Oryzias latipes: one gene and its partners. The protein of the gene in region 5 purifies or fractionates together with the protein of the main gene of each other region. This does not show direct contact. Links are inferred from orthologs where the notes say so. Each region holds a gene or a part of one and is shown on either strand. Other genes may lie near its edges.

Region 1 (4,555 bases), on a different chromosome or scaffold from region 5:
CTCGTCTTCATCACGCTCACGTTTCCTTTCTTCTCTTGTCCTCTCCCTGAAAAATGACAGTTTGACACAAGAGTCAAGTGATACAATTGACGATTTTATTTAGTGGGGCGAGCAGGAAGCCTCAGAAAGACGGAGTGGCAGACAGAAGCTGTTGAGGCTTCAGAGGTTCATGAAGCACTGAAACCCACTGGACAGACTACCTGGAGCGGCTGCGAGCCTCGCTGACGTCCCGGCTCCTGTCCCGCTCCCGCTCCCGCTCCTTCGTCCTCTCACGCTCCCGGTCGCGCTCCCGCTCCCTCTCGCGCTCCTTGTCCCGCTCCCTCTCGCGCTCCTTCTCCTTCTCGCGGTCGCGGCGTTCCCTCTCGCGCTCCCTTTCTTTGTCCCTCTCCCTCCTCTCCTTCTCCAGCTCCTGACGCTCCTTTTCCTTCTTTCCTTTTTCTTCTTCCAGTTTCTGCAGAAACAAAAAAGGTTATTTTTCCCCTGGTTTTCATAGAACTGCCGCTCTATCTTCAGACTGTGGGGGTCATGTAGGTGGGGGGGTAGAGGGACACATTCTTCCTGAAACACTCGATAGGAAGGATTTTCTGTTTTGGAACCGAGCCGTTTGACCTCTGCAGGAGTATTGTGACGTAACGGGAGCTGGGAATAACCTTCAGCCACAGCGCGTCTGCATATTTTCCACATTAGCGTTCAGTCATGCAAACAGTCGGGAGATGGATTCGATCTGAAGCTGCGGCCCGGAAGCAGGACGTTGGCATCGAGCCGATGACTCACAGCAGGAAGAACAAAGAATATGAAAATACGACAGAGATTCGAGTCACAAAAAAATTCACTTCCCTCATAAAAAGTCAGAATATTAAGGAGCTACATAACTAATAACATATTTTGTTTTCTATGGTTTTATTCATATGATTTATTTTTTCTGATTAAAAAAAAACCACAATTTTTTTTCAGTTCAGTTGTCTCAATAGATGATTGAATTAATGAATATTGGAGAATTAAAAGCTCTAGATATGACTTTATAAAACGTTTAAAGGCGTAGAATCCCTGAAAGGATTGATTTTACAAACGAATGGAGAGAAGCCGCCACAGTGGGCGGGGCATCGCAGCGTTGACAGAAACCAGCAAACCGCTGGATGTCGGGAAACAGATTCCCCGCTGTCCCGGCAGACTGCGGTGAATCTGTGAATTGATGATGAACACGAGGCTCTGCAGCTTCATCAGCTGTAAGTGGGTCACGTGATCAGCTGATTGTGTTGATGTTTACTCCACGTTCCGACATCATTGACCCGTTTTCATGAGTTAACACTTGAGAGGCGGTCAGTCTGCTCACACGCAGCTTTCCCTCCAACGTTAGATCACGTTTACAGGAGCTAGAAATGCTCCAGACAAGAACGTTTGGTGGAGAACGGAGCGTCTGGGACAGAAAAATCAGAGCAGCTTTGTCTGGAAACGATGACGACGGCGGCTGCAAACCGCTGGGAAGTCATGAGGAGCCAGGATCCAGATTTTATGCCTGTTGTTCTCACTTCAAGAATCCATCAACGTGGAGCCAAACAGGAGGAACACAAACAGCAGAAAGAAGCTGTAAAAACAGGAGAACATGCTCCCCTACCAAAGCCTTCATCACACGTCTGCACGGACGATGCAGCACAGCGGCGAGGCAGCAGCTGGAAGCGTCAAAACGCCGTTAAACTGGCAACACGTTGACGGGATCTGTGGTTGCCAGAGCAACGAGGTTTGCAGCAGATAAATGTAAACAGAGAACGAGCTGCGATGCAAAAAAAAAAAATCAGCGTGGAAACGTTTTTTGTTGGGAAGAAAAACGACCAGAAGGCGATTCCAAACCTCCGTCACGTGCGATGAGGAGATCTCTTTATCGTATCTGAGCACCTTACCACTTCAAATAAAACACTAACTTCCTATCCTCAACCCAAAAATACCAGCAAAACCTTCTAATTTTTGTTTCTACGGTTCAGAAGGAAATCAAACTTCTTCCCTTCAGGGAGAACTGTGACTCTGCTTTGTGAAAGGTTGTGGGTTCGACGCCTCACCTTGTGCGTGTCGCGGAATTTGCTGATCTCTCTGGAGATCAGGTCTCGTTTGTCGTCCTCCATCTCCATGGCGTTGATGTCCTCCTTACCCGAAGGACAGACAGAAGAGAAACGGAAACACTAAGCCTCTAAAGACCAACGCAGAGCGGCGGACGCCTGCGCTGGCGTCTTCATCGTGCAGAGTACCTCCTCTTTCTTCTCCTTGCGTTTCTTGTTGCGCGGCTGACTGTCGGCGTCCTGGGAAGGGGCGTTCAGCTCGCTCGAGTACTCTTTGAGGAGGACTTCGATGGCGCCGTTCGCCACCTGGTCCCGCCGCAGAGTTTCTTCGTCGAGGACCTCCTCCTCATCTTCATCTGGCTTTTTCAACCCATCGCCGGTCTCCTTTACATCCAGTGGTCAGAAATATTAGAGGGATCTTCAGAATCAGAGGCGATTTAGTTTGAGCTCTAGCTGCGTACCCCGTTGGCGCTCCTCCTCTTGGCCTTCCACTCCTCCAGCTGAGCCTTGGTCTTGGCGTCCACCTTCACCAGCAGCTTCTTGTCCCCTAAGAGGAGCTCGTGCAGAAGCCGGAGCGCTCGGAGTGTCGATTCCGGCTCCTTGTACTCGCAGAAACCGAAGGCTGAAGAAATCAAGAAGATGAAGAAAGTTCTGTTTCTGTTTAAGTAAAAAAACTTACTGAAAAAAAGCAAGAAGTTTGTGAAAAAAATAGATTTTTTTTCTATTTTGGTTTTTCTCTAAGACAGCATTTACATCACAAGCAGCTGAAGATGCTGGGCTTTTATTCTGAAACAACAGGAAGGACTATTCAGCATCTTCCATTTCTCTAAACTAACACGAGTCTGTCAGCTATCTCAGCCAGCTTTCAAAACTCAACTAAAGCAGAAAAAAAGGGGAAAATAAAGGGGGAAAAAAATCTCTGCTCGTCTGCTTCAACTCTGACATTTACTTCACCACAACTCAGAAAAGCAGCGTTTTCTAAGTGTGTTTGAAAACAGAACAGGAGCTGCATGTAATTTAACGCCATGATTGTGAAGTTTCCAACAAACTGAACGCAGCTCAAAACCCCTTTTTAGACGCATCTTTAATTAAACCCAATAATCTGTAGGTTGTGCTTCCATTTCAAAGTGAATATAAACAAAACAGTTTTTGTTGTTATTTTTAAAAAAAATAATAAAAATATTATTATTTGTTATCTTGTTATCTGCTGGTAGAAAGTTTTATTCTGAAAGCCAATAACCAGGAAGGAAAATCCTTTCAGAAGAAAAGCCCCAAAGAGTTTTCGTTTACCTTGAAGTTTCCCAGAAGCACCTTGGACTCGCTTCCAGCTGAGAACAATCCCACATTTCTGCATCAGACAAACACAAAGCTGTTGACAGTCTAATCAAAGATGGCTGAACGTTTACATCAGAGCAGCTGGAGGTCCGGAGACGTTTGAAACGTTTTAAACTCAAAACCAAAACGGCTTTGAAATCTTTAAAAATATCTATTTTGGTATCGGGCGTTTTGAAATCCCTCTCCCTCCATTTGAATCCTGTCCTTTCAGGAAAGTGTCGTTCATTTCAAAGCTTCCAAACTTTTAGTTTCACTGATCAGTTTTTATCTTCAAACATTTCTGTAGCTTTATCCTAATCCTATCAAAATAAGAGCTTTAAAGCTGTCATTTGTAGGCACAGCGGGCGCTCAGCTTCCCTTCAGTTTTTGATCTTATCCTAAATTCCTTTGTTTCATGAAAACGGAGGTGAGCTGGTTCACTCATTTGACAAGAAAAACACGAGACACACTAAAAGTATTCAGACACCAACATCACTGAGATTTTTGTGACTTAAGGTTTACAGAGGAACTACAAACTTTAAACATTTACTCTGAGAACGATGCCACAGAATGTGGTGAGACTTCAGCAGTTCACAGCCTCCACAAACAGGTTTTTCAAAGTAAAAGCATCTGAATGGGTGCAAACTCACAGCCAGCAGCTGCCTGACCAACATGTCGGAGGCCTTTTCTGAGATGTTCCCCACAAACACGGTGGTGGTGGGGCCCGCGCCGTCGTCCGCATCCCTGGCCCGCCCCATGCCGTGCTCCTTCTTTGCAGCTATGGGCTTCTGGGTAATGGTGACCGCAGTTGGAACCAGAACCTGCGACAGCAATGCAAGGTTTAGAGACGAACGCATCAACTGTGGATGCCATAAAGACGGCGGTGACGGCGGGTCACACGGAGGAGCTGCGGGTTAATGTGGTAAAAACTCTGGTTTCAGACTCACTGTGGGCGCGGGGGCCACTACGCCCATGTGAACTGGGATCATGGGAGTACCTGGAAACAGCAGAGGGAAAAGGTTGGTGTAGATTTTGCTTTCATCCACACTGAATCCTAACTTCTAGGACTGTTTCACCCAGAAAGTTCCCTCAGTTCCAAGCTGTGAGTGTAAAGCCAACAGGGTGGAGCGGACGCTCACACATCTAAGACAAAGAGGCCCTTCAGAGGAGACAGAGGCAGACAGAAACCT
Region 2 (5,049 bases), on a different chromosome or scaffold from region 5:
CTGGCCTCAACCCTATTCAGAACTTTTGGAGAATTCCTCAAGTAAAATATCTCTGAGGGTTGGAGGCAGTTCAAATCCAAACAGCAGCTCTGGGAGGATATTCTGACATCAAAGAAATTCAAGCAGAAACTCTCCAAAAAGTTCAATAGATGCAACAATTGTGAAGCTACTACAAGATAAGGGGTCCTGTGTTCAAATGGAACTTGACCTATGAAGATGTTTTTGATTGGAATAGCTTTACATTTCAGTAAATACGAACATGTAGCAAACTACCATTTTCAGTTCTTTAGAATCTATCAAATGTTGTGGAACTCGGTTGTGTGTAATAATGTGGAACAGTGACTTTGAGGGTTTTATCTTTAGGTTGTGTTCAGTAACATTTACCGTTATTTATACTCTAACGCTTACTGACTTGAACATTCTGCTGACTGACGTTTGCGTTGACAATTACAGAGAAATCACAGAAAAATGTCATTGGTGTAATTTGGAACGTGCTGCAAAAGTGGGTTTTGTGGTTTCAGGTGGGCTTCAGGGTTTGAGAGTCGCCGTCCTGGTGGGCGTGTCCCCACAGACACGGCGGCTCACCTTGTGTGGCGAAGCGCAGCAGCAGCTTGTTCCCCTTGAAGGGTTTGATGGCGGGCCGCGGCTCGTTCCTCAGCAGCGACTCTCTCTCCGCCCGCGACAGGTCGTCCACCTGAGTCGTGCACACACACATAAACACACACATAAACGTGTCAACAGCTCCTCCTGACTCCAGCCTCTTGCTGAGTTTACTGCAAACTCAATTCTCCTGGCGAATTTGTTTCCTCCGTTTTGACACGCGCTAAATTTGCTCCTGGAAGCTTGTCGTAAACCTGACGCTCCTGCTGTGTGTGGGAGGGGCTAAAGGTTTGGAAAATCCCAGAATTTTTTTTTATTTTTGTCTCTATGGAAAAAAGAAAAATCATAAAGTTAAGGAGGAGAGCGGTCAGATTGTCCTCCATGTTGGTTTTGGCCTCCAGATGCTGATCACGTCATCAAAGCATCCTGGGCTAAAGCTGACTCCCTGATTGGTTGACGTGACGCGAATTCGTGACCAAAGTTCAGCCAGAATATTCACCGCTCGCCAGAATCTTTCTGACGCTTCACTCCCGTTCAGTGTGAACGCAGCTTTAGACCCCCCACCCCCCACTCTCTGACTGACCAATGAGCTTGTGCGGTTGGTGACAGCTACCTGTGTTCCGCGCTCCTTCGGCTGCTGCTCCTCCTGCACTTCACTGCTCCTTCTGGCTGCCCCGTCCTCTTCATCGCCCACCTCACCCTCCTCTTCCTCATCCTCTGAGTCTGGACCTCGCTGAGCTGTTGTGTGCAGATAGAGCCATTACCCAGGCTGCACTGCGGCCTCGGAAAGTCAGAGCATGTTTCCACTCGCTGACCTTTGCTCTCTTTGCCTGGCTGCTCTCCGGTCTCCGTGGTAACGGCCTCCGGGTCGGGCATTCTGCTAGTGTTGATGAGCGCTCGGATGGAGGTGTCATCGTCCAACCAGACCACGTTACCTGAAGGATGGAAGCGGTGGTTAAACCTCAGGACCCTCTTTGGGTTTCCTGTCGTCCTGCAAACGTTCGTGCGCTCACATGACGCGTCGTCAATCCACTCGATGTGGGCGGGAGGATACTCCTTAAAATAGCCGAAGATGTCCTGCGTGCTCATGTCGTCCACGCCCGTGACGTGGAGCGCCTCCAGCCGCAGGCGGGGAATGGCTGAAGCAGACGACAACGTCAACAATACACCAACACCACCTCGGGACACGACAAAACCCGGAGCCACCCCCACCTTTCTTTATGGTTTCCTTGTCCAGGACGACGGCCTTCTGACTGACGCTCTGCTCGCCGCAGAAATGGAAACGTCGCGCTCGCTTCTCCTTCTTCTCAATCGCCTCCTAAAACACAAACAACTGTGTCATACCCCGGTTTGTAGTTGGCTACCATGGTAACAGCTTCCTTCACGTCAGAGTTAATGGTTTGTGGTTGGAGGTGAAGGCAGGTCACACGTCTACTTTCTTCTGATCGTCTGGGTGGCAGAGGCAGCAGTCTGAGGAGAGACGAGGCGTTCCCAAGCCAGGCTTGGAGAGGTCGGCACCCAGGTGGGTGATTCAGTGAGGTTCTTTTTCATGAGGCCTTGCACTTTTGGACCTGGACTGGAACTTTATTTCATGCTTTCAATGCTTTTTACCAACAACGAGCTGATCACATGGCAGCTGCGTGATGAGGCTGCGGTACCTTTGAGTTGACGTCAATCCCGGTGATAAACGCTCCGGCCTTGTTCTCGTAACGCCGGCTGGTGTCCTGCAGAGACAGAGCGGGCAGAACTAGGTCATCTGCCAGACCGGGTCATAATGGGCCGAGCCAGACTAAAGAAAAGTACAACTTAAAGTACCGTTAACTTTCACACACCTAACTAGGTATGTGAAATTTGTTCTCCACATTTGACCCCACCCCTGGGGGAGCGGTGAGCTGCGGACACAGCCGCGCTCGGACGGAACTTTATGGTGGATTAAGTTAATCCACCATATAGGGGGTTATTCATTAACTCCCCCAATCTAACCCCTATGCTGAGTGTCAAGCAGGGAGGCATTGGGTCCCATTTTTAGAGGCTTTGGTATGACTCGGGCTGGATTTGAACTCACGACCTTCCAGTCACAGGGCGGACACTAACCCAAGGCTACTGAGCTGGTTCAAGACCGGGTCATGATGGAATGACCCAGACTTAGACTAGGTCATAAATGGGCTGGCCCGGACCTGAGACTGGGTTATAATTATAATGGACTGACAGTAGCTAATCGATCATTTTAGCTGAATCCCCGCAGAAAGCTCTGCTTATAATATATGCACGTTTTTAGACGGATTCTCCAAACTCACCGCCGTTTCTTAGGTAAGTAAAGATCAACAGGTGAGCGACACAACAACTCTCTATTGGCTAAGGGGCCCAGAAAAGAGAAAATCCCCGTGGCTGCAGCGAGCATTAACAGCGGCGCCCGTCACCGACTAATTCCTGGAACTACTAGACGGAGCTTCGGGTAATAATCGCATGCCGACTCTGTATGTTGAAGCAAAACTCCAGTCCCCGGCTCTGCGGGCCTAAGTAGTTCGGGGTCTTACCGGCAGAAGCTCCTTCAGAGAGCGGTTAACGGAGATATCCTCTGCATCCACCTCGCCCTCCTCCACCTCCATCGGTTCGGCTTCGCGAGCGTCATCTCGGTCCGACTCGGAATCCGGTTCCGAGTGCTCTGAGCCGCTGTCTGGTTTCACCGATACCCGCAGGCTGCGCACCGCCGCCATGGCGCTAACTACTGCGAACAAGGGCTGCTGAGGCTGCGGTGGTACCGTGACCCGGCACTGGTTCGGTGCGGTGGTACCGTGACCCGGCAGACGTTCCCTGCTCTTCTTCTTCGTTGACGGGAATGTAACCGAGTCGGGGGTCTGGCGCCCCCTATCGCACCGTTCCGTCACAGTCAGTTTGTCAAAGTTTTTTTCTTAAACTTTATTGTTCAAAACAAATAGAACAAATATGTATAACAAGAACAACAGTCATTAAAAACGAGAATGCCAGGGGATGGTACATAGATACATGTATTACAAAAGAAAAATTACAGAAACAGATTGCTATGAATTGAAAATGTTCAAAGTCAGTTTGTCAAAGTTGATGGCTGGGCCTCCAACAACTATGACATCAGTCAGCACCAGAGCCTGGAGGAGAGACTGTCTGCAGCCCGGATCCTGTTCCAGAACGACCCGCCGTGCCCGGTGGTCGTTGATGAAGTGAGCAACGCCAACGATACTCTGTTTTTCCCCCAGCTGACCTTCATTCACCTCCTTCCCAGAGCAAATCGTCTGTGGTTGTCTCTCTCTGCATGAAACCAAGGTGTTGTTCACAAATGTTCAGCTCTGACTTCAGTCTGGCTTGCTCTCCTCTGTTTCATGACTTCTCTGTGACTCATCCGTTTTATTCCTCTTGATGAACAGTCCAGTCATAAACTGACAGCCACCTCTCCTAAACTAACATGTTCTTTATTCATCGACTCTTCAGCGTTCTCCTCCATGTATGTCGTAAAATCTGTCGAGACATTTACATGTATGTACTAGGAACAAATGACACATCTGTTGTTCCACATCAGTTTTTTAGCTACAAACTAATGACTTCCGTTCAGCTTTTAGCTTTAACATGACATGTAAATCAGTTCATGGTGAGTTTTGGATTTCTATATCTGGGTAAAATATGTGTGTTTTTTACATTTCCCTTTTTTTTTTTTTTGCTTCGCAGTTCTTCTCTTCTCTGCACAGTGGCGCAGTGGTTGCCTCACAGCAAGAAGGCCCCCGGTTCAGGTCCCGGCTGGGGGACCTGAAACAGAACATCAATGGGGGACATTTCTGTGTGGAGTTTGCATGTTCTCCCCGTGTATGCGTGGGTTTTCTCCGGGGTCTCCGGCTGCCTCCCACTGTCCAAAAACATGCTTCATAGGTTAATTGGTTAATCTAAATTGTCCATAGGTGTGAGTGTGAGTGTGAATGGGTGTGTGATTGTGGACATTCTACCCTGCGACAGACTGGCGAACTGTCCAGGGTGTCCCCTGCCTTCGCCCACAAGTGGCCGGGATAGGCTCCGGCAGCCCCGTGACCCCGAAAGGGAAAAACGGAATAGAAATTCAATGAGTTCTTCTCAAAATGTCCCACAGATCCGACACTTGTCGGGGAGAAAGAATGTCTTCCATGTTTGTGAGGAAATAATTTATTTCCTTTGTGCACCACATGAACAGAAAACACCTCACATTACACGGATCACATGATTACAAAAAGTGCTGGAATCAATAAATGTGAAAAACAGACAATTTAAATCCCAAAGAAACCACTCAGACGAAAGAGGACAATTATTGAAATAAATTACACTTTGACTCGTTTAGTGTAAAAAAACTAAAAGGACTTTTGTGAAGTTCATACATCAAACTGTACAAGTTAAAAGCTCCAAAAATCTTGCTGTGATCCTCAGAAACCAGGTTGTTGAGTGTGAAACAGA
Region 3 (5,090 bases), on a different chromosome or scaffold from region 5:
AATTCTTATTCCAACATGACCAGGGTTGAAGACCACCACTCAAACTGACAGACAAACTCAAGACTGAATGATTAAAGGTGACGAGTGATTGGCAGAAAGCCTGCTCCGTGTTTGGTGTCCACCTTGAGCTTACCATCACAGTCCCACCGGGAGAGCGGCTCTTCCACTGAACTACAACTCCTCACACTTAAAGACAATGTGCCCTTTGACAAGCAAACATGTTCAGGTTCACAGATCAAACATTTCTGTTACTCCACCCCGACGCCTCCAATAAATGACTCCTCCCCCCTTTAAACGCAACTGTTAGTCCACCGGCGACACATCGAGCAGACCCCCCCCCCCACACACACACACACACACGTCAGACGAGCAGCAGACATGGATCTGGTGAGCAGAGCTCAGTTTGCTGGTCTCCTTACAGAAGCATCAGTGACGAGCAGTGCTCTGATCCACACACACCAACACAGACTGGCTTTGGTGGCCGATGCCTCAGCCGTACTCACAGTGCATGTCTCGCTCGTGCTCATACTCTATGAAGGCGTAGCCGCGGGGCTTCCCTGTTCCCTTGTTGTAGACGATGTAAATCTGAAAAGAAAAACTCCTGGTGAGACTCGGCAGAGCGGAGGCAGCAGACATGCAGTCAGCGCACGACGACACGCACAAAGCGGCGCCAAAACGCTTCACGCACGGCTCTTTACTTTTTTTTATAGTATTTTGAAGAGCCAGGAGAATTTTCTCACATTGTAAAGACAAAAGGGTTCATGTTTTGAAGAAAATCTGGACACAGAAAAATAATAATCAATAGCTACCCGTTTAATGGGGCCATAGACTTCAAACTCACGGCGAAGTTTGGACTCTGTCGTATCATAATTCTGAAACAAAAAGGTTTTAATTACCAGATGTGAACAAGGAGTGAGAAGAACCAAGACAAATACTCACCACTCGTGCCACAAACAGAGTCTTGAAGGCATCCCCCTGAGCATTGGGGTCATTATGGGGGTCCCCTGACATGGAACAAACAGGAAGGATGAGCACAAAGCTTTTCACCGTTTGAGGAGAACGGCGTGAAGAAAGTGACAAACTCACAGAGCTTCAGTTCTGTCTCCACTTCTCCCTGTCGCCTCTCAATCTTCTCTCTCCTCTGGAAACAGAAAAGAAAATGGTGACGGCCAACCGCAGAGCCTCCAACAGCAGAGCATCAGCACAGAGCTGACATAATCCCGCACTTGGTTTCTTGTCTGCTGCCAGCATGCACCTGTGCTGGGCTCCTGCCTGGTATAATATTTCTATAGACTTGAGAGGTTTTCACCGAGGCAGAAAATGCTGAATGAAGGAGTTAGGACTGTAATTCAACTACCCCTCCTTTGAGAATCTGCATTCATTAGGTCTGTGCTTCACAGCCAAACTCCTGCTTCAGTCAATTCACAAGTTCACAAATAAATTTCCTTTATGGCTCAAGACGCTCAACTGAAACGTTACAACCCCAACATAACATTATCTGTGCAACAAAAATGGCGAGCGATAAAGGAGCTATCCAGGCGTTGAGTTTCTCAAACAACAATACTAACAAATGCAATTTTAATCCTAATTTTCTGTATACATGCCTTCCATCGTTATCTACGCAGCACAATCAGAGATCCAAACAGTAACGACTGGTGGACGCTGCAGCACAGACAGGATCAGGTTAGAGGTTTATATAGTAAAGAGATGGTTGAGTGTGCCATGAGAAATTACTCAATTTCACCTATTTGTTCTAAAAAAAAAAACATTTTCCATCGCCAGAATATTAGCTCTACGTTCATCGAAATACGCCCAGGTTTCAGTTGGGAGTACTACAGATCACAGAAGACTTTTACTTCCTATTTAAGACACTTTGATTAAAAAAAATGTCTGCACCACTACTGTGCAGCAACTTAGGCCAATGGCTCTTATTTTGGAAAAAGTTTGTAAAACACCCCCAGTTCCTCACCCTGACAAAATACCAGCTAACAATGGTGGAAGTGTAGCTTCAAGCAGGATCCGGTGTCAGACCGTGTAAAAAGTGCATCCAATAATGAAGCCCGGAGATTTGCATCAGTGTCACAGAGTTTACTACATCTCCCATGATTCATTGGGTTGATGTGACAGAATCTGTGCTACTGCCAGCTGCCATAAAGCAAAACAAACGCAAATATGAAATCTTCTGGATGAAAGCAGAGATAAACCGTTTATTTATCCATCAGGTTCTGTATTTGAGCACATGTGCAAAGGGGGGAGGAAACTCACCTTTCTCTCCAGGCGTTCCTCGCGGGTCTCGGCTCTGGTTGGTGGGGGGGCATCTCTAGGATCCTGGTGGGAAACAGTAGGAAGGTGAGACAGAGGCATCGGGGGGACGGAGGCTCGCACGTGACAGCGACGCTCACCTCGAAGTGTCTGATGAAGGGGGCGATGCCGCTGTACGGCTGGTTGTGATGCTTCTCGTGGGGCAGCTTCTCCAGCTGAGGCAGGAACGGAATCGGGTCCCGGGGGGCGAACAGGGCCAACAGGTTCGGCGGGAGGAACTGCGTCATCTTTCACTTGATCGATAAGGAAAACATGCATGATATCAGACACGGATCTGCCGCAACACAATGAAGCAGCGAAACTAGCTGTCAGGGCAGCTAGCTAGCTAGCTAGCTAGCCGTAATACCCGTACTAGCTAGCTAGCTTCACGCGCTTATTGTTCACTTCCCCACAGGACGGGGGACGCGTTCAACGCATTTCATGCATCCAGAAGTAGAACATCAGGAACCCCCTCCCACAGTAGTACACGTTATGGTCTGCGTACAAGTTAAGAGTTTGGCCGTCCGGAGGCAGCCGGAGGCGTCTGCTCCGCTCGTGGGATGTAGCGCTCCCGTTAGCATGGAGCTAACCACTAACTGCGCCCTTACACTCACCTTCTCTCCTCCAGAGTCCAGCAGCTTTTAGTTCATGGACCTGAAGGAGGAGCGGGACTGTCCGCGGGTTCGGTGGCTCAACGTAGAACCGCCAAAAAGAGACTCCGTGAAGATAAAAATGCTGGAAATGGAGCTGAAAACAACGTGGAGATAGCTGGCTGCGTACTGCGGCTGCTCGGCCTGTTGAAAATATAAAATGGCGGGGGGGACCGCCGCGTGAACGTACGTCTTTTGACGTAACTTACGTGATGACGTCAGGACGCCGTCCAATGAGTTTATTATTGACAATGTGATTTCCATGTGATTTTTCCCATTTTGCTCTGAATTTTATTGAAATAAATATAAGTTTCCTTTGACATTGTTAAAAGTTTATTTTTTTGTTAAAAAAATAAATAACTTGTTAAGTGAGAATCACTATGGGTTTGGTTCTAATAGGTCTACAGGTTTTGCTACAATGAAAGTAGTTGAAGAAATTTCAACAGCAATTGACAAAAAGAAAAATACATTAAAAGTTATCATTGATTTAAAGAAGGAATTTGACACCATAGATCATTCTATCTCGATTTCTAAACTGCATGCGTATGGGGTTAGAGCAATCGCCCACCAGTTATTTACAAAACAGACAATACAGTATGTGCAGTTTGGAGGTAATAAGTCTGATCTCATGAATATTATTTGTGGACTTCCACAAGGTTCAATTATAAATGTTTGGGGTATTTCTAAGTTGTTGCAGTTTGTTTTATTTGGACATGAAGACAAATTTCTCTGTTCAGGGATAATCTAAAACCCTAACTTAAAAGTGTTAAAAAGGAAATGAAACTTAAAATGTGGTTTGATTATAATTAACAAAAACAAAGTTTATGGTATTTGGTAATAAAGAAAAAACAGAAGTGGCTTTATCCATTGACAACATAAATATAGAGCAGGTGTCTGAATTTAAATTTTAGGGGTTATGTTGGATGACAAATGAACATGGAAATCTCATATTTTATGTAAAAAATAAAGTAACCAAGACCCTTTTTGTTTTGAACAAATCCAAGTATATTTTACCATGTCAGAGTGTGCATGTGTTATATTGCTCTTTGGTTTTACCGTACTTTACATTTTGTATTGAAGTGTGGGGGAACACAGATTAAACTAATATAATACCCTTAATTTTATTACAAAAGAGTCTCTGCTTCAGCTGGTCCCAGACCTGCTCTATGGGGTTCAGGTCAAGGGTCATTGCTGGTCAGACCATATGAGCCTAGAGACTGGTTGTGATCATTCTGGCAGCATGTGGTGGAGCGTTATCATCCAAAACTGCAAAACTCTCACACAAAATAACTCAATAGGAGTGAGATTATATGAATTTGCTTTTTCCAACTCCTTTTTTTCCTAGCACTAAATCACTTTCTACTTGACTATTTAGTTAATAATCACTATATTTAAATGTGTCTTAAGTGTGTCTTTGTTTCTGTTTGTTTGTTTGTTTGAATCTATGCAGTTGATTATCTCTGTAAGGAGTTTGATACATCCGTGTGATTTTTCTCTTGTATTGACTACAATTAATACTTGAAAGAAACCAAACCAAATCAATCAATCAACCAACCAACCTATCTACCTATGAACAACTGACTGTATGAAAACTGGACTGAGTGACTCGTCCCCCTGCGGTTCCAAACAAGAGTTACCTGCTGGTTCAAAGAAGCCAAATCTGATAGACATCTACAGAGAAATGGTTTGTGTGGATTTGTCTACTTTGTGCTATTCTATGTTTCATGTCTTAATCTGTAATGTTTACTCTTCAATGAGGTCAGTGGTTTGGACGGATCTCCTTCACCTGCCTTTCGAATACAGAAATAAATGAGCTCTTTTGCTAATTCTAGCATCTATATGTTGTAGTCCTGCTAAAACATTGATGAATTTGTTTTAACCTAAATAAATTATAAAACAGCTATAACTCTGTCATTAAAATCGTCAGGATAACCATTCTCGTTACCTTTTTTAACATAAAATGCCATTTGTTTCACTATATTCTTACTTTATCGCATGCTGGATGGCTCAGTTGGTTTAGCCCAGGACGGCACATGGGAGAGCAGGGTTTGATTCCCATGAGCTTCATCCACTATTGCCTAACAGAACGTCCTCCTGTGCCGGTCCCTAGCCCAATAAAACACAGGGTTGTGTCAGGAA
Region 4 (4,193 bases), about 20 Mb from region 5:
CAGCACGGTACCCCGTCTAGTCTGTGATGCTGGAGTCCACCAGCACGGTACCCCGTTTAGTCTGTGACGGTGGAGTCCACCAGCACGGTACCCCGTCTAGTCTGTGATGCTGGAGTCCACCAGCACTGTACCCCTTTTAGTCTGTGACGGTGGAGTCCACCAGCACGGTACCCCGTTTAGTCTGTGACGGTGGAGTCCACCAGCACGGTACCCCGTCTAGTCTGTGATGCTGGAGTCCACCAGCACTGTACCCTGTCTAGTCTGTGACGGTGGAGTCCACCAGCACGGTACCCCGTCTAGTCTGTGACGGTGGAGTCCACCAGCACTGTACCCCGTCTAGTCTGTGACGGTGGAGTCCACCAGCACGGTACCCCGTTTAGTCTGTGACGGTGGAGTCCACCAGCACTGTACCCCTTTTAGTCTGTGACGGGTGAGTCCACCGGCACGGTATTCCGTCTAGTCTGTGACGGAGTCCACCAGCACGGTCCCCTGTCTAGTCTGTGACGGTGGAGTCCACCAGCACTGTACCCTGTCTAGTCTGTGACGGTGGAGTCCACCAGCACGGTACCCCGTCTAGTCTGTGATGCTGGAGTCCACCAGCACTGTACCCTGTCTAGTCTGTGACGGTGGAGTCCACCAGCACGGTACCCCGTCTAGTCTGTGATGCTGGAGTCCACCAGCACTGTACCCCGTTTAGTCTGTGACGGTGGAGTCCACCAGCACGGTACCCCGTCTAGTCTGTGATGCTGGAGTCCACCAGCACGGTACCCCGTTTAGTCTGTGACGGTGGAGTCCACCAGCACGGTACCCCGTCTAGTCTGTGATGCTGGAGTCCACCAGCACTGTACCCCTTTTAGTCTGTGACGGTGGAGTCCACCAGCACGGTACCCCGTTTAGTCTGTGACGGTGGAGTCCACCAGCACGGTACCCCGTCTAGTCTGTGATGCTGGAGTCCACCAGCACTGTACCCTGTCTAGTCTGTGACGGTGGAGTCCACCAGCACGGTACCCCGTCTAGTCTGTGACGGTGGAGTCCACCAGCACTGTACCCCGTCTAGTCTGTGACGGTGGAGTCCACCAGCACGGTACCCCGTTTAGTCTGTGACGGTGGAGTCCACCAGCACTGTACCCCGTCTAGTCTGTGACGGTGGAGTCCACCAGCACGGTACCCCGTCTAGTCTGTGATGGTGGAGGCAGAAACACAGAACACAGTTTTTATACACAAATGTTTTATTTGATTAAATAAATCCTTGATCTAAGAACAGAGGTGGTTTGAAAAATGAGGGAGGTGTTTGAATAATCAACAAGGACAGAGAAAGCAGACACTTAAAGAGGAGTCCACCCCTACTGACCCCCCTTCTTACAGCAAACACTTCAAAAAGACCAAAGTAAAAAAACAAAACCTTACAGACTACCTTCTGCTCCGTCTGGGATTTCTGGCCTGAACAGAGAGGCTGACACTAAAAATAAAAACGGGCCTAGAGTCATGGCAGACCCTAAGGGAGGGGGGCAGCTATATTTACAGGACGTACTCTAGCTCGTAGCGCACATACACGTTCTTGTCGTCGTTGTAGACCTGCGGGTACTGCGCGATCAGGGCGTCCTGGGAGCCGATGTAGATGGAGTTGTAGATCTTCCAGTAGACATCTCGAACCTTTCTAGCTGGATGGAACAGACCCTGTAGAGACGAGAACCGGACTTTAGCAAAACACCACAACCAGGAGCACCAGTGTGGTCGAGGTTAGAGGCTGGGCCTCACCTGTAAGCAGTACTGCAGCATGCGACAGGGGCCGAGGGCCACCCGGAGACCCTCCAGGGCCCCCATCACCGCCTGGATGACATGTGGCGAGGTCTCAAAGACGTTGGGCCACACATAATTCAGCAGGTGGTTGAGGGAGTCCTCGCAGCCAAAGCCGTACACGCCCAGAGACATGTGCTGCACCACCGCGCTGGCCGTCTGTCTGTGGACCAGGTCCCTGTGAAGCACAGCAAACGGGTCAGAACCACAGAGAGCCAATGCGTTCTGAGCAGCAGATCCGTTTGTGGTTAAAGTGGTTCTTGCTCCATGTAGAGGAGGCAGCACCAGATCTGGCATGGATGTACCATAGAATCCGCTCTTTCAGAAAAGCCTTTAAGCCACTAGAAGATCCACAATTTATAATATATATAGTATTCTGTAGGTACCCCTCAAGTTTAAGAACTGCATTTTGTGCAGGAACGACCCATAGTGACTCAAATTGGGGCAATAAGACAACTCAACTCAACTTTATTTATAAAGCACTTTAAACAGAACAAGGTTCACCAAAGTGCTGAACAACACAAAAATTAATAAAAGCACATGAAAATATAAAGCATAAAACACATAAAATAGGTCCGGACTCCAACTCAGTTAAAAGCCAAAGTGAAAAAATATGTTTTAAGAGCAGATTTAAAAATACTAAGTGAGTCTATCTGTCTGAGGTACAGGGGCAATTCCTTCCAGATTTTTGGTCCGAAGGCCGAGAAGGCTCGGTCACCTCTCCGTTTTCTCCTGGTCTTCGAGACGACCAGCTGTGTCTGATTGGTTGACCTAAGGGAGCGGGGGGGAGTGTACACCTGAATCAGGTCAGACAGATATTTTGGAGCGAGTCCACGGAGACATTTAAAAACAAATAGGAGAATTTTAAAATCAATGCGTAAGCGAACTGGGAGCCAATGAAGAGATGCTAAAATGGGAGTGATATGTTCTTGTTTCCGTGTACCAGTTAGAAGACGGGCAGCAGCATTACAGTAGTCCAAACGTGTTGAAATAAAAGCATGGATTAAAATCTCAAAGTCATGGTGAGAGAGGAGAGGTTTAACCTCGGCCAGTTGTCTCAGGTGAAAAAAACTGGATTTCACCACTGAGTTGATATGAGCATTAAAAGTTAAATTGCTATCCAATAAGACAACTGGGTGTCGCCATCCTCACAAACATTTTTCCCACGGCAAAGAGGAGATCCTAAAGCACATCCATGCTGCTGAACGGGGGGAGAATAACAAACGGCCCCACCTGTCCATCAGCGCGTCCTCCAGCAGCGGCGTGACGGCGTAGATGTAGTCTTTGCCCATCTCTCCGATGTACTCAAACAGGAAGGAGAGAGATTTGAGGACGCCGTTCTGCACGTTCAGCTCGGGGACTCGGTACTCGTTCATGAGCGCCGGCAGCACGGTGAAAGGCGAACACGTCTCTGCCACGATGGCAATGGCCACGGTGGTGCAGACCCGGTTCTGCCGCTCCTGGACCTTCAGGTTGTTGAGCAGTGTGGCCAGAACGTCGTGAGGGCTGCGAGACAGAACCGGAACATTTGAGAGCAGGTCCGCCTGCGGACGGCGGGTGGTGGTGGATGAGCACTCACCCGATGGCTTTGGCGATGTAACCGAAGGTGTTGACTGTGGCTCTGCGGATGGCCTTTTTGTGAGCCTTGAGGAGCTCCAGCAGCTCAAAGCAGATCCTCATCCACTCCCTGGCAGACACGTACTCGGCCCCCCTGACAAGAAAAGGAAACATGGTTTAAAGGACAGCTGCTGAAACGGCAGCAAAACCTCCAGAACCAACAGACCTGTCAGCGATCCGGCCCACCAGGTCGATGCAGTTCTCCTGGACCTTCTCATGCCGGTTCTTCAGGATGGGGGTCAAGCGAGGAAGCAGGTCTTTGATAGGAGGGGTCATCTTGTGCATTCCTGCAACAAGAACCAGTCAGGATTTTCTCTGTAATACCAAATCTTGGGCAGGTCGTGCATGAGGGGAGGCGGCGCACCAATGACGTTTACGATGGCCTTGAGTGCGCCCAGGATACTGCCCAGAACCTCGGGGTACTCCTCTCCCAGGTACTCGTACAGCACCACCCCCAGATGGCCCATCAGCTTCTCCTGCAGAGGGACAGCAGAGCGGGTGAGGCCTCAGGCCTGAGCTGCAGGTTTACGGGGGCGGGGTCACCTACCTCCTGACAGGTCTTCATGACCACCGCTGTGCGTGAGATCAGGTCCGCCGCCTGCTGACGCACTTTGGCGGACTTGTTGTTGAGGCGCCACAGCACTGTACCGCAGATCTGAGGCAGGTACGGTTTCACGCGTTTGCCCAGCGCGTTCACCACCGTGCCAAAACCGTTCAGCATCACAGAGTCCTGCACACGGACAGAAGGTTAACCAAAGCCCCCCATAAAGCAGGAATCC
Region 5 (5,120 bases):
CAACCATAAGCTGAATAACATGAATAAATAACGGCATCCAACTTCTTGCAACACATTGCAGAAGAAGCTGCATGGGCGGTACAAATGTCATACAATCATACCTGTCCCAATGGTGGGGCTGCCATAGGAGGCATTATGCCAGGGGGCATTATACCAGGAGGCATAGGAGTCATGCTAGGTCGCTGACCCATAGGGGGCATTCCCATCGGAGCAAAATGAGGTGGTATTCCTGGCGGTCCCATCTGGTGAAGCGAAAGAGAAAAAAAGACAAACATAATTCTTATTTACTCCAAATACAACAGAGAAATAAAAAAGACAAAAACATATTTTTGAAAATTATCCATCACTCACATATGGAGGAGGTATTGTTGAGGGTGGTACAGCCGGATAAGCTGGTGCTTGGCTCGGACCATTGTTAGCTTCTGTTGAAGACTGTTAAGAAAAAGAAACAAAACACAGTCAGAACTCATAACTTGTACTTTTGGAAAGTCCCTTAAGAGTCAATTATTTAGGAAAAACCAATAAATCTAAATCCTCAAGTTTATTGACCTGCCAAAGAAAATATTTAAAGCAAAGCAGTATAGAAACAAACTAACTTAAAGTTAGCATTGTAATTACATGAGGACAAATATCATTCCTTTCATAAAAACATGCATAAGTATTTTAAAGTCAATCAGTATAAAAAAATAGCAATCCCAATATTTTGATGATACATTTACTGATATATTAAAAAATATATTTTGTTTAAACTAGTCATGACAGAATTCCTACAAAAACAGCATTTTATAGGATTTTAAAAATTGAAAGTGATTATGGTGTTAAATAAACAAATCTCATTGCTAGGATTTTACATTTACTGTGCACTTCAATGTTCTAAATCCTAATTGAAACCAGTTTAGACTTTCATTTGAAGCTGGAGTTTTAAAAGCCAAGCTAAACTAATTAAAATTAGTAATTTAAATGTAATAGGTTCTCTGACTGGCTAGACAGGCAATATTTGACGTCATACAATGGATTTTTCAGGGGGACAACAAATGAAGTAACTAAACTGTACTCTGTGTTCCTCCAAGCATTTCAATTCTGAGATAGAAATTAAAAAGATGAGAAAAAATCTGTTGCAACAAGCCACTGTGAGTTTTTAAGACGATCTGCCAGAAATTTTTTTGCGCGGTTTTAAGTTTCACCCTAATATACCCATGAAAAATAAGGAGCAAAACCAACGACATCGTTCATGACAGAAGTTGGAGTTTTAGGTGGGGTGGTCCAGACGTTGTCAGAGGTAATAATAAAAAATCAGGTTTTATCTACAGAAGTCATTTATATTTTCAGCCGTTAGTTCTGCAGCTGTTTTTAACACTTTTTTCAAGTGTTTTTTTTTTTAATACAAGGCATCAAGTTAAACCAGAAAGTCTAAACTGAGCAGGTAAATGGTTAAACAAGGGGCTGTAAATAAAATCCAAAGATTCAGGAATGAAAAAAAAACACTGGAAAGTGAAACAGTTCTTAATGGATGGCTAAAGTAAAAACATGTCACTTAATAAATATGTGACTTTGGGGAGGGGGGGGGATTCGTGTTAAAACAAGAGTTTTAATTTAAATTACTTTAGAGATACTCACTTTGGTTTTATTCCTACTCTCAAATATATGCTCATTTTAATGTTTTCTAATGTGGAGGTGATGGGATCAGGGAGTTAAGAGCATTGTGTTTTTATTAGTTTGATGTTATTTTTATGAAAACAGCATTGGCTCTTTGATTTTTTGTGTGTGAAGACCTTTGCAATAATAAAGTATTAAAAAGTGCTCTATAAATAAAGTTTGATTTCATTTGCTTTATTGTGATTATATATTTAAACAATCTGTGTTTAAAATCACTTACAGTTGAAGACATTGGATCTATTTACCACTTGAATTGTATTTATATAGAATAATCCAATTAAGAAAAGATAGAAAAGAAAGTAAGAATTCTTCGGCTTGATGGTGTTATAACAAACAAAATATTGTTTTATTCAAACAACTACGTCTGTGTACCAGTTTTATCCATTCGTATCTACAACATACTTTAGTGGGATTTTGTTAAAAAGCAAAACATTTACAGCATGAGTGGGAAAATTTTGCTCTATTTTAGGCAAGTTTTTTTTAATCTACTTTTAGTATTTTCGTTACTTTACAAATAAGATGTTTTTTTTCTATTATAGTTAGTGGAGGGAAATGATTCACTTTAGCATACTTTTTGCAATAGAAATGATCCATTTACCATATCTTTCTACTCTAAGTGGACATAAAAGCTTCAACGAAAATAATTTTGATCAAAATAATATATGTTTAGATTTGTATAGAGCAGTTGCTTTAACTACCCTTCCCCACAATTTTTGAGACAGAGGCAGAATTCCAACTTTAAAGTTTTTTTTTTTTTAGCTTTCAAGTTGCTTTTCACAGACTGTTAATACTTTTCAACTATGTAACAATGCATTGAACTCAAATGCTAGTCATACTCCTGTTGAGCTGTGACACCTGAAGCTGATTTTTACTGACAAATATAACATTTTAACCATTTGTAAACATTTAAACTTTAGTTGAACAGTACTTCTAGTTCTAACTTTTTGGAACTTGGCCTGTATTGTTTTTCTTTATCTAACACGTTAAAATAGAACATCTACAACTTTAATCAATTCAAATTACATGCACAATTAAATGTATATCCGCAGGAAAAACAATCTAGTTATTCATTGTCAAGATGTTTTTCCCCCAAAATAGTCTTAAACTACCACAGACAATTTATTTTAAGGAAATCCATTTAAAACGTTTATAAATAATACATTTTTTTAAAGTGAGCAAGTTATAGTTATCGTTTAGGTTAACTGTAATTTCACAAATAAACATATAGGTACAAAAGTGTAAAAATACATAATTTTGGTCAATAAAAAAGTATCTCGTGTAGATAGATGGATTATCATGAAATATAAAAAGTCTGTCCCTATTCTTAATTACCCTTCCTTCAATTCTTAAGCATCAGTTAATGATTGTTATAACGAGGAGGACACGGGCTAGGTCTATGCTCTGGCTAAGAAGAGTAAGAGAGGCAGCGATTGTGACCTTTACACCAAACCACCTTTACATAAAATGCATAAATTATCTACTGCCACACTGACAGAACAAAATTCATTTTACAATTGGGAGTTTATTCTTTCCTTATTAGTGTTTCTTCTCATGGTGATAGTCGATGACATGACGCTAACTCGGCTAAATGCTAACAAAAAAGCTAACGTCGCGGTTTTGTTGAAACGTCTAGCCCCTCTATAGTAAAATAAGCTTTAAAATAACCTTCAAGAAGTAGTGAATTTAAAGCCACAAAATGCATTTAGCATATAACATGAAAACAAAAACTAGCACTTGAAGCAACGATACTTACCATGTTGTCTCAATGAGCCTTCGACAAATGTGAGCATCAGCACCTCCCAACAAAGAGCGATACGATTGGTCGACGTTGCTTCCGGCGCAAAGAGGTCAAAGTTTGTAGCTCAGTGGCGTTAGTTTGCGCTAAATGTGCGCAGACATGCGCATCAACGGGGATGAGGGGAGAAGAATTCCAGATTTATGAGTTTCAAAGGGAAAAAAACACAACACAAACGAACTATATAACAAATTAAAAGTAGGGCAAATAAAAGAGTGTGGCTCAATGTAACTTTTGAGTCAAATGTTTCACTTAAAACATCACACATATTATTATGAAATAACTCATATGTCCATATGATTGTAAATGGTATAAAATGTGTTCACTCTTTTCTTGACAATTACCAGACCTGCTCAACATCTAATGTAACCTCAACCAATTTAGAAATCTGAAAAGGATATTTTGCCAAAATAGGGCAGAAGAAATGCCACTAAAAGGCTGTTAATTATGCCAAGAATAGTCTTATAAGGGATTTCATTATCTTTATTCTTTACTAGGTACATTGAAAATGAGTCGGGTAAAGATGACTATACTTGAGTGTAATGCTGGTTGCCTTACACAAAAACGGAAAGAGCTGTTTTTTGATTAAACATCATGTAGAATTTGGAGTAGCTGAAATAAAAAATAACAATAACAAATGAATCAGTTAAAGATACATTTATCAAATATTTTCTTTTGCTTTGCTTTAAGCATGGGGTTAATTATTGATACTACATTTCACCTGTCGTTTTTCTGTTTCTTGACAATTAGGTTGATTAGATGTCTAAACCAGGGCTCAACTAATTCCCACTTTCCAAATAAACATTAAAAACACTATATTTATAAGAAAAATAGTATTGTATTGGATTCATCTGCGCTTTTCCAGACGCTCAAAACCCTTACAACATGTTTATTATTCATTCTCTCCTCATTCACACTTGGTGATGGTAACTACTGATGTAGCCACAGCTGCCCTGGGGCAGACTGACAGAGGCGTGGCTGCCAGTATGCGCCTATGGTCCCTTTGACCATCACCGGGGCATTCATACGAATTCACACACCAGTGGAACCACACTGGAGGCGGGGAGGGTGAAGTGTCTTGCCCAAGGACACAACGATAGTTGACCGGGGGGAGCAGGGATCAAAACGCCGACCCTTCGATCATTGGCCGACCTGCTCAACCGCCTGAGCCACTGAGTGCTTATGATCTAGTCCTAACCCAGTTCGCCAGTACCTCATCTTTGTCTGTGCTATTGATTCACAATATATGAGTTGGTCAATGTTTGCTGCAGGCCATTTTGAGGCAGTGAGTTTTGAGTCCAGCATCCTGCTGACCTGCCTTGCAGGCACTGCAGTCTCATCTGACAATTGGCTTCCTGTCAAGCATAGCCACATGAGCTACCAACAAAGCACATCACATTTAGAGTCTGTTATTCAAGTTGCCCCGTAAGAATGAAGAGACATAGGTTTAAACATTTAGTTTATTTAGGGGAAAAAAGCATCTCATAGTCTTGGTTTAAAGCTGAATATTTCACTAAGAACCTAGCTTTTTTTAATGTTTTGCACATTTTAAAATGTAGAACAAAATAAAAGAAATCCATAAATAAGGGCTAACACAGTGTGATTCTCAGCTTGCATGGATCGGCGTGTTGTTGCCTCCCAACTCCGTGAGACTACATTTGTCCTTGTT
Region 6 (5,281 bases), on a different chromosome or scaffold from region 5:
ATCGTCTCCCTCTACATCATCATCGAAAACGTCTCTCTCTTCTAAAATCAATTCCAGGGCCCTCTGCGCAGAAAGTCTTTTGGCCATTTTGATCAGTTGTGATGAGAAACCACACTGGCAAAGCTATATTTATAGTGTCCCGCCTCCAATTTGTAGCAGATCTTTATCTGCTATGTGAGATATTAAAGATTCCCGCAAGAAAGTCAAATGATCAAATGTGCGGGAGAACGAGAGCAAACAGAGTTGATGCTTGAATTATTCTAACAATGTTGCAACCTTGTGCGGGAACCGCAGGTGCAGAAACAGAACTCACATTTACAGTGAATCTTTCTCTCTCTGCCACTCTCTCTCTCTCTTTCTCACTGGTCACACACACACACACACACCCACACACACACACACACAGCAGGCCCAGACAGGTGGAGGACAGAGTGTAGGTACATAAAAACATCAATTTCCACACTTCTATTAGCCCTGGGTCCAGTGGACCCGAACATCTTATATGTAATAGAAATGTGTTGGGGGGGGTATACGGTGTGTGGTCATTAAAAATGTATTCTGATATCTGTTCTTCACAGAAAATGAGCCAAGGCCAGTGAGTCTGAGTTTGAAAAATTAATTAATTGTATCATTTTTCTTTTGATAAAAAATGAAAACGGGTCCCACAGACCCGAACACCACATAAGGGTTAAAAGTATTTTTGTGACTAGAAATCAGAATAATAGTTGAGCCGGATCACAAGATGACAGAAATCAGAATCAAGATGTTTCATAGGTTTTATTCTCAAAATTCTTCAAAAAAAAAAATCAACTCGAATGAAGGAATCACAAAATCTTGTTAGATGTCATCAGACATAACATAAAAACTACAGTCAATTTTCAGCACAAAATTTAAAAAAAAAGAAAGAATTTTTCTCGTCTCCTTGTCACTACGAACTCAGCTAAATTTACTGCAATTTATATAGATCCTTTGTGTCCGAGGAGCCAGGAAATGCGAAAACTGCAGCTGATCTGCGGCGAGTATTTAGAGTAAAGACAACTTTCTATCTGGAGGAATTTGAGCTTGAACGAGAGCGATGGCGCCTGCGGCCAGGAGACCTAGAGCGAGAGCGGCGACGTGGTGGCGAGCGCCTCCTTGGGGAGCGTGATCTAAACAGGCACAAAAAAAGGACGAGCATCAGTAGGTGGGAGAAGATTCCGTTTCAATGGACCGCATAATAAAACGTTAAAAATATTAAAAAGGTACAAGTGAAAGCTTTTAAATAACCTTCTTCTCATGCGTGGTGGGCTGCGGCGCCACATCGGTGGAGGTGGCGGCATTCTTCGAGGAGGAGACAGTCTACGTGGAGGACCACGGATCAGCTGAGTCAGCACAGCAGCTGCAGTGATTTCCTGCCCGTCAATCTGACCTAAAAAAGTCATCAGGAAGGTTTGTTTTTACCTGACCAAGTTTATGTTCGTCAATATGATTTCTCCAGCCCCTTAAATGATTCTTTCCTACCTCCATCCATGTGTTTAAGAGCTTTCTGGGCTTCTTCAGGGGTCTCAAACTCCACGTAAGCAAAGCCTTTGGTCAGGTTTGGGAAGAGCCTTTCCACCGGCATGTCAACCGCTTTAATTTTTCCATATGTAGAGAAAATCTCCTGGATGTGTTCCTAGTAAATTGAAACATACATTTAGTTTTTAACCATTATTTTGTGAAGGATTGTTCCATTAAAAAAAACTAAAAACAAAATATTTAGCTTTTTATTTAATTCTTGCAGTTTTAGGCGCACATCTTGACAGACAATAAACATAAAGAATATTTCATTCTAACTAGTTATCATGAAAAATAAGATCTGCTTTTATTGAATTAGAATTTTTTTTTTAAAAATCAAAGATTTAGCTTTTGTTTGTTTTTTTAGCTTGCCTTGGTTACATTCCTGGTCAGCCTTCCCAAGTGAACCTTTGTGGGTTTAGGGGTGGGACTTCTTTTTCTTCGTTCTCTTTCTTCTCCTCTCTTCTGTGTTTTAGAACTGCAGGATAAAAAATTACAGAATAAATATTGTCAATATTTTTGAGATACAATATAAATATTTGTCTCATGTCTGAGAAAATGGACTGACGGAGATCGTGAACGGCGTCGGTTGTCATGGCGTCTGCGGCTGGGACTTGGAGAGGCCGAAGAGCTGGAGGAGGAGGAAGACCGAGAGCTAGAGGATCCGGAGCGACTGGAAGAGGAGCTGGAACCACTTGAAGAACCAGAGCTAGAACCAGAGCTGCTGCTGGAGGATGAGCTAGATCTAGATGTGGAAGGTCAAAAACAAACAATGATTTAGTTGGGAATGAACATCCAGGACAGGATGCTATATTATATTTTTAAATATAAGAAAGAAAAAATAGCTCACCTGCTGCTGCTGCCTGATGAAGCACTGCGGCGTTTCTTTGCTTTGTCGCGACCCCTTTCCTTGTCTCCTTCCTTTATTTTTTCTTTTTCCCTGTTTTTCTTTTCATCTTCCTTTCGCTTTATCGGTAATGGTGCCCTGATGTGGCGAGAAAGCACATAAATTAGAGACCTAGAAACCTAAAAAAGTGATTATGTCTAGGTTTATGTAAAGGATTGTGATTTATGTTTTTATTGGATAGAGAGAAACAGCCTTAAAATGTGCTAGATACAAATTTTTTGCACCAAAAAGGTCATTAATTAAATTTAACTCGTTAATTACTTGAATATATATAACTTTTTCATTTCATTTTTATCTAATTAATTCAAAATTGTTTCGGTGTTTTTTTTTTTTTTACCGACATTTAACATGTGCACAATAAATTGTAATTATTTTAAGCTTAATTCCAAATGTTTAGGACCGTAAATTACATAATATTTTCCCTTACACTAATATTTTCATTCAGAAAAAAAAAAACCTTCTATTTGGACTCGTTCCCTCGTTGTTTTTTTTGAGCACAACAAGGGACTAAACTACACCCGCGTCGCGGTTAAACGACTTCTTCCTTTATAAGGAACTTTCGCGCAAAATAAAAAAGCCTCCGAACTTACATGTTTAAATCAACAAGTTCCGCTATTAAAGCTATTTAGATCGAAAATACGTAAAAAGGTTAATCTTACATTCCAACGGCCAAAAATGGCTTCACTTGCGGTCTGGTGTGAGGTCGCGAAGTGATGATGAAAGCGGATGTTACGTAATTTTTTATTTTAACTTTAAACAAACGCACACACAAAAGCTACAACAGAAAAAAAGAAAAAAGAAGAAAATAGAAATAAATAAATAAATAAAAATAATATAATTGTAGTTTACAATACAAGGGATTTTCATACAACGCGTGATCTTCAATGAAAATAGACATTTTATTGCATTTTTGCTTTTTATTAATATCAGAGATTTTTAATATAAACTGATCTCAATATGAAATGTATTGAATAATGGTTTTGTTTTTGAAAATCTGCTCTCATCAATGAAAAATTTCCCAGATATTAATAAAGTATTGAATGTCAAATCAAATATATTATCAACAGAAACTACTCCAAATAATATGATCTGCTTTTGTAATTGAATATAAATAGGAAAGGGAAACTTTGAGGAGCAACAAGAAAAGAAATTCTCCCAAAAACTGTTAACATATATACATTCAAAAAAACAGATGATCAAGTGTTTCTATATTTATGTCACAGAAAGAACAGTTATTTTCTGGAAAACCAAAACGTATATGTATAGTAGTTCCTTGTATGGATAGACTGCATACATTATTTTAAAATGGATTTCTTTGTATTTTGGAAAAATTTAATATTTAGTAAATTCAGATCTTAAAACGATATATATATATATATATATATATATATATATATATATATCGTTGTTGTTTTTTTTTTCTTGCCAACTTTTTTTGTAAACATACACGACACAAGTGTGGATGAATGAAAAAGTTATAATACAAATCCATGCAGACCTTACATATAGTCACAGCACTGGAGCATCGCATTTTGAGTTATTGTTGCAATTTTTTAAATATGTACAGTCTAATCAAAAGATTTTTAATAAATATTACAATTCCAAAGTAGGTGACTGAGTTTTTGGGTTTTCTTTCACAGAATGTTAACAAACTTTAATATATTTTACAATGTTAAATATCTTGACTAGTATTATTCTGTGCAGAAATTGAGAGGAGATATCGCTCATCTTGTCATTAATCAACTATTTCTGATGCAATGAAAGTTCTTTCCATAGCAAGTCAGAGACAAAAGTATTTCACTAAAAGACAACAAAATGTTCTGAAATAACATCTCGTTGAAACAAGGCACATATGACTTTGTTATTCTCCTGAGTAAATTTGAAACAAGATTTTCCAACAGGGGTGTAACTGATTTTCTCTTTTCATCTTCTTTATTTTATGGTGTTGACATTTAGACTTCGAGTCCATAAAAATATGTATTACTATATGTTAGATTAAACTCCTCAGTTCTAAACAAATGTCCTTTTCTGTCAAGGAACTGACCCATATTATTGTTGAAATTATTATGACAAAAAATATATATTTGTTTTAGTAAATGATGTATTTCTTAGTCCAAATAAATAAATTATAAGTGAGGGGTGTTTATAAACAAGTGCCCAGGAAAGAAGTGTCTGTCAAAAGCAGAATTTTATAGTCATTTTGACAATGTTTTCTTTGTCACAGACAACTTGTTTGTTTGTTTGTTTGTTTGTTTGTTTGTTTGTTTGTTTGTTGACACCACAGTTACAGAATATAAAGCCACTCAAAATCCCCTTTGCAAAGGTTTGAACTTTCATGCAGACTCTTGTGTGATGTATTTCTTTTCCCCCCTGCACATTCAATTTGTTGGTGTCCTTAACCATCCAAACCTGCAACATCAGCTTAATTATATTTGTTGAAGTAAAACTGAACCATAATTATAAGTTAATTCTCATTTCTTACCAGTGTGATTCAGTTCGTCGCTAGATTATGACGAAAGCGGAAGTTACGTTTGTAAACGGGTGCCACTCACAACTTCATTTGTTTTTTTAAGGTGTTATGGACGTTAGCAGCTTGCGTATTCGGCTGCTGCATAGCTATGCAAAGGGGACCTAGTTACTGTGGTGCGTGAATTACGCTGCTCGAATTCGAAGCACGGACATTGCTTCCTTCGTTTCTTCAGGTGAGCGTCCCACTTTACAACAGCGGAGGTTGTTAGCTCTAGTATCTAAGCTAATGTTATAACTCAACCGTTAGAAACAGGTGTGAAAACATTGCAGTTACCTATCATTTCAAGAACAACTGTGATATTAACTGTT

What was found.
Region 1: the proteins of prpf40a (region 5) and RNA-binding protein 25 purify together in Homo sapiens (affinity purification with mass spectrometry; 5 studies listed by BioGRID and IntAct, with this or other methods). This does not show direct contact. The link is inferred for Oryzias latipes from reciprocal best matches to the Homo sapiens genes PRPF40A and RBM25.
Region 2: the proteins of prpf40a (region 5) and ncbp3 purify together in Homo sapiens (affinity purification with mass spectrometry; 3 studies listed by BioGRID and IntAct, counting the BioPlex papers as one, with this or other methods). This does not show direct contact. The link is inferred for Oryzias latipes from reciprocal best matches to the Homo sapiens genes PRPF40A and NCBP3.
Region 3: the proteins of prpf40a (region 5) and snrnp70 fractionate together in Homo sapiens (co-fractionation; 3 studies listed by BioGRID, with this or other methods). This does not show direct contact. The link is inferred for Oryzias latipes from reciprocal best matches to the Homo sapiens genes PRPF40A and SNRNP70.
Region 4: the proteins of prpf40a (region 5) and sf3b1 purify together in Homo sapiens (co-immunoprecipitation; 3 studies listed by BioGRID and IntAct, with this or other methods). This does not show direct contact. The link is inferred for Oryzias latipes from reciprocal best matches to the Homo sapiens genes PRPF40A and SF3B1.
Region 6: the proteins of prpf40a (region 5) and rnps1 purify together in Homo sapiens (affinity purification with mass spectrometry; 4 studies listed by BioGRID and IntAct, counting the BioPlex papers as one, with this or other methods). This does not show direct contact. The link is inferred for Oryzias latipes from reciprocal best matches to the Homo sapiens genes PRPF40A and RNPS1.

Annotation. Positions count from the first base shown.
Region 1 is NC_019880.2:1,892,439-1,896,993, reverse strand, and holds part of RNA-binding protein 25, read right to left. Parts: intron 4,363-4,555; coding exon 4,313-4,362; intron 4,187-4,312; coding exon 4,016-4,186; intron 3,400-4,015; coding exon 3,342-3,399; intron 2,674-3,341; coding exon 2,513-2,673; intron 2,436-2,512; coding exon 2,241-2,435; intron 2,139-2,240; coding exon 2,055-2,138; intron 452-2,054; coding exon 201-451; intron 47-200; coding exon 1-46. UniProt on the Homo sapiens protein: RNA-binding protein that acts as a regulator of alternative pre-mRNA splicing. Involved in apoptotic cell death through the regulation of the apoptotic factor BCL2L1 isoform expression.
Region 2 is NC_019872.2:24,106,847-24,111,895, reverse strand, and holds the start of ncbp3 (nuclear cap-binding protein subunit 3), read right to left. Parts: upstream 3,459-5,049; 5' UTR 3,318-3,458; coding exon 3,138-3,317; intron 2,325-3,137; coding exon 2,259-2,324; intron 1,919-2,258; coding exon 1,813-1,918; intron 1,740-1,812; coding exon 1,614-1,739; intron 1,536-1,613; coding exon 1,416-1,535; intron 1,339-1,415; coding exon 1,214-1,338; intron 695-1,213; coding exon 586-694; intron 1-585. UniProt on the Homo sapiens protein: Associates with NCBP1/CBP80 to form an alternative cap-binding complex (CBC) which plays a key role in mRNA export. NCBP3 serves as adapter protein linking the capped RNAs (m7GpppG-capped RNA) to NCBP1/CBP80.
Region 3 is NC_019866.2:24,779,327-24,784,416, reverse strand, and holds the start of snrnp70 (U1 small nuclear ribonucleoprotein 70 kDa), read right to left. Parts: upstream 3,121-5,090; 5' UTR 2,916-3,120; intron 2,556-2,915; 5' UTR 2,550-2,555; coding exon 2,403-2,549; intron 2,329-2,402; coding exon 2,266-2,328; intron 1,142-2,265; coding exon 1,087-1,141; intron 1,005-1,086; coding exon 940-1,004; intron 873-939; coding exon 810-872; intron 586-809; coding exon 504-585; intron 1-503. UniProt on the Homo sapiens protein: Component of the spliceosomal U1 snRNP, which is essential for recognition of the pre-mRNA 5' splice-site and the subsequent assembly of the spliceosome. SNRNP70 binds to the loop I region of U1-snRNA.
Region 4 is NC_019879.2:170,830-175,022, forward strand, and holds the end of sf3b1 (splicing factor 3B subunit 1), read right to left. Parts: intron 4,145-4,193; coding exon 3,962-4,144; intron 3,891-3,961; coding exon 3,779-3,890; intron 3,702-3,778; coding exon 3,581-3,701; intron 3,509-3,580; coding exon 3,377-3,508; intron 3,304-3,376; coding exon 3,031-3,303; intron 1,976-3,030; coding exon 1,759-1,975; intron 1,678-1,758; coding exon 1,519-1,677; 3' UTR 1,212-1,518; downstream 1-1,211. UniProt on the Homo sapiens protein: Component of the 17S U2 SnRNP complex of the spliceosome, a large ribonucleoprotein complex that removes introns from transcribed pre-mRNAs.
Region 5 is NC_019879.2:20,298,284-20,303,403, forward strand, and holds the start of prpf40a (pre-mRNA-processing factor 40 homolog A), read right to left. Parts: upstream 3,536-5,120; 5' UTR 3,413-3,535; coding exon 3,410-3,412; intron 433-3,409; coding exon 352-432; intron 243-351; coding exon 102-242; intron 1-101.
Region 6 is NC_019866.2:11,024,113-11,029,393, forward strand, and holds rnps1 (RNA-binding protein with serine-rich domain 1), read right to left. Parts: upstream 3,197-5,281; 5' UTR 3,105-3,196; coding exon 3,103-3,104; exon of another isoform or gene 3,036-3,102; coding exon of another isoform or gene 3,034-3,035; intron 2,522-3,033; coding exon 2,387-2,521; intron 2,282-2,386; coding exon 2,105-2,281; intron 2,015-2,104; coding exon 1,909-2,014; intron 1,655-1,908; coding exon 1,501-1,654; intron 1,409-1,500; coding exon 1,267-1,408; intron 1,149-1,266; coding exon 1,043-1,148; 3' UTR 759-1,042; downstream 1-758. UniProt on the Homo sapiens protein: Part of pre- and post-splicing multiprotein mRNP complexes. Auxiliary component of the splicing-dependent multiprotein exon junction complex (EJC) deposited at splice junction on mRNAs.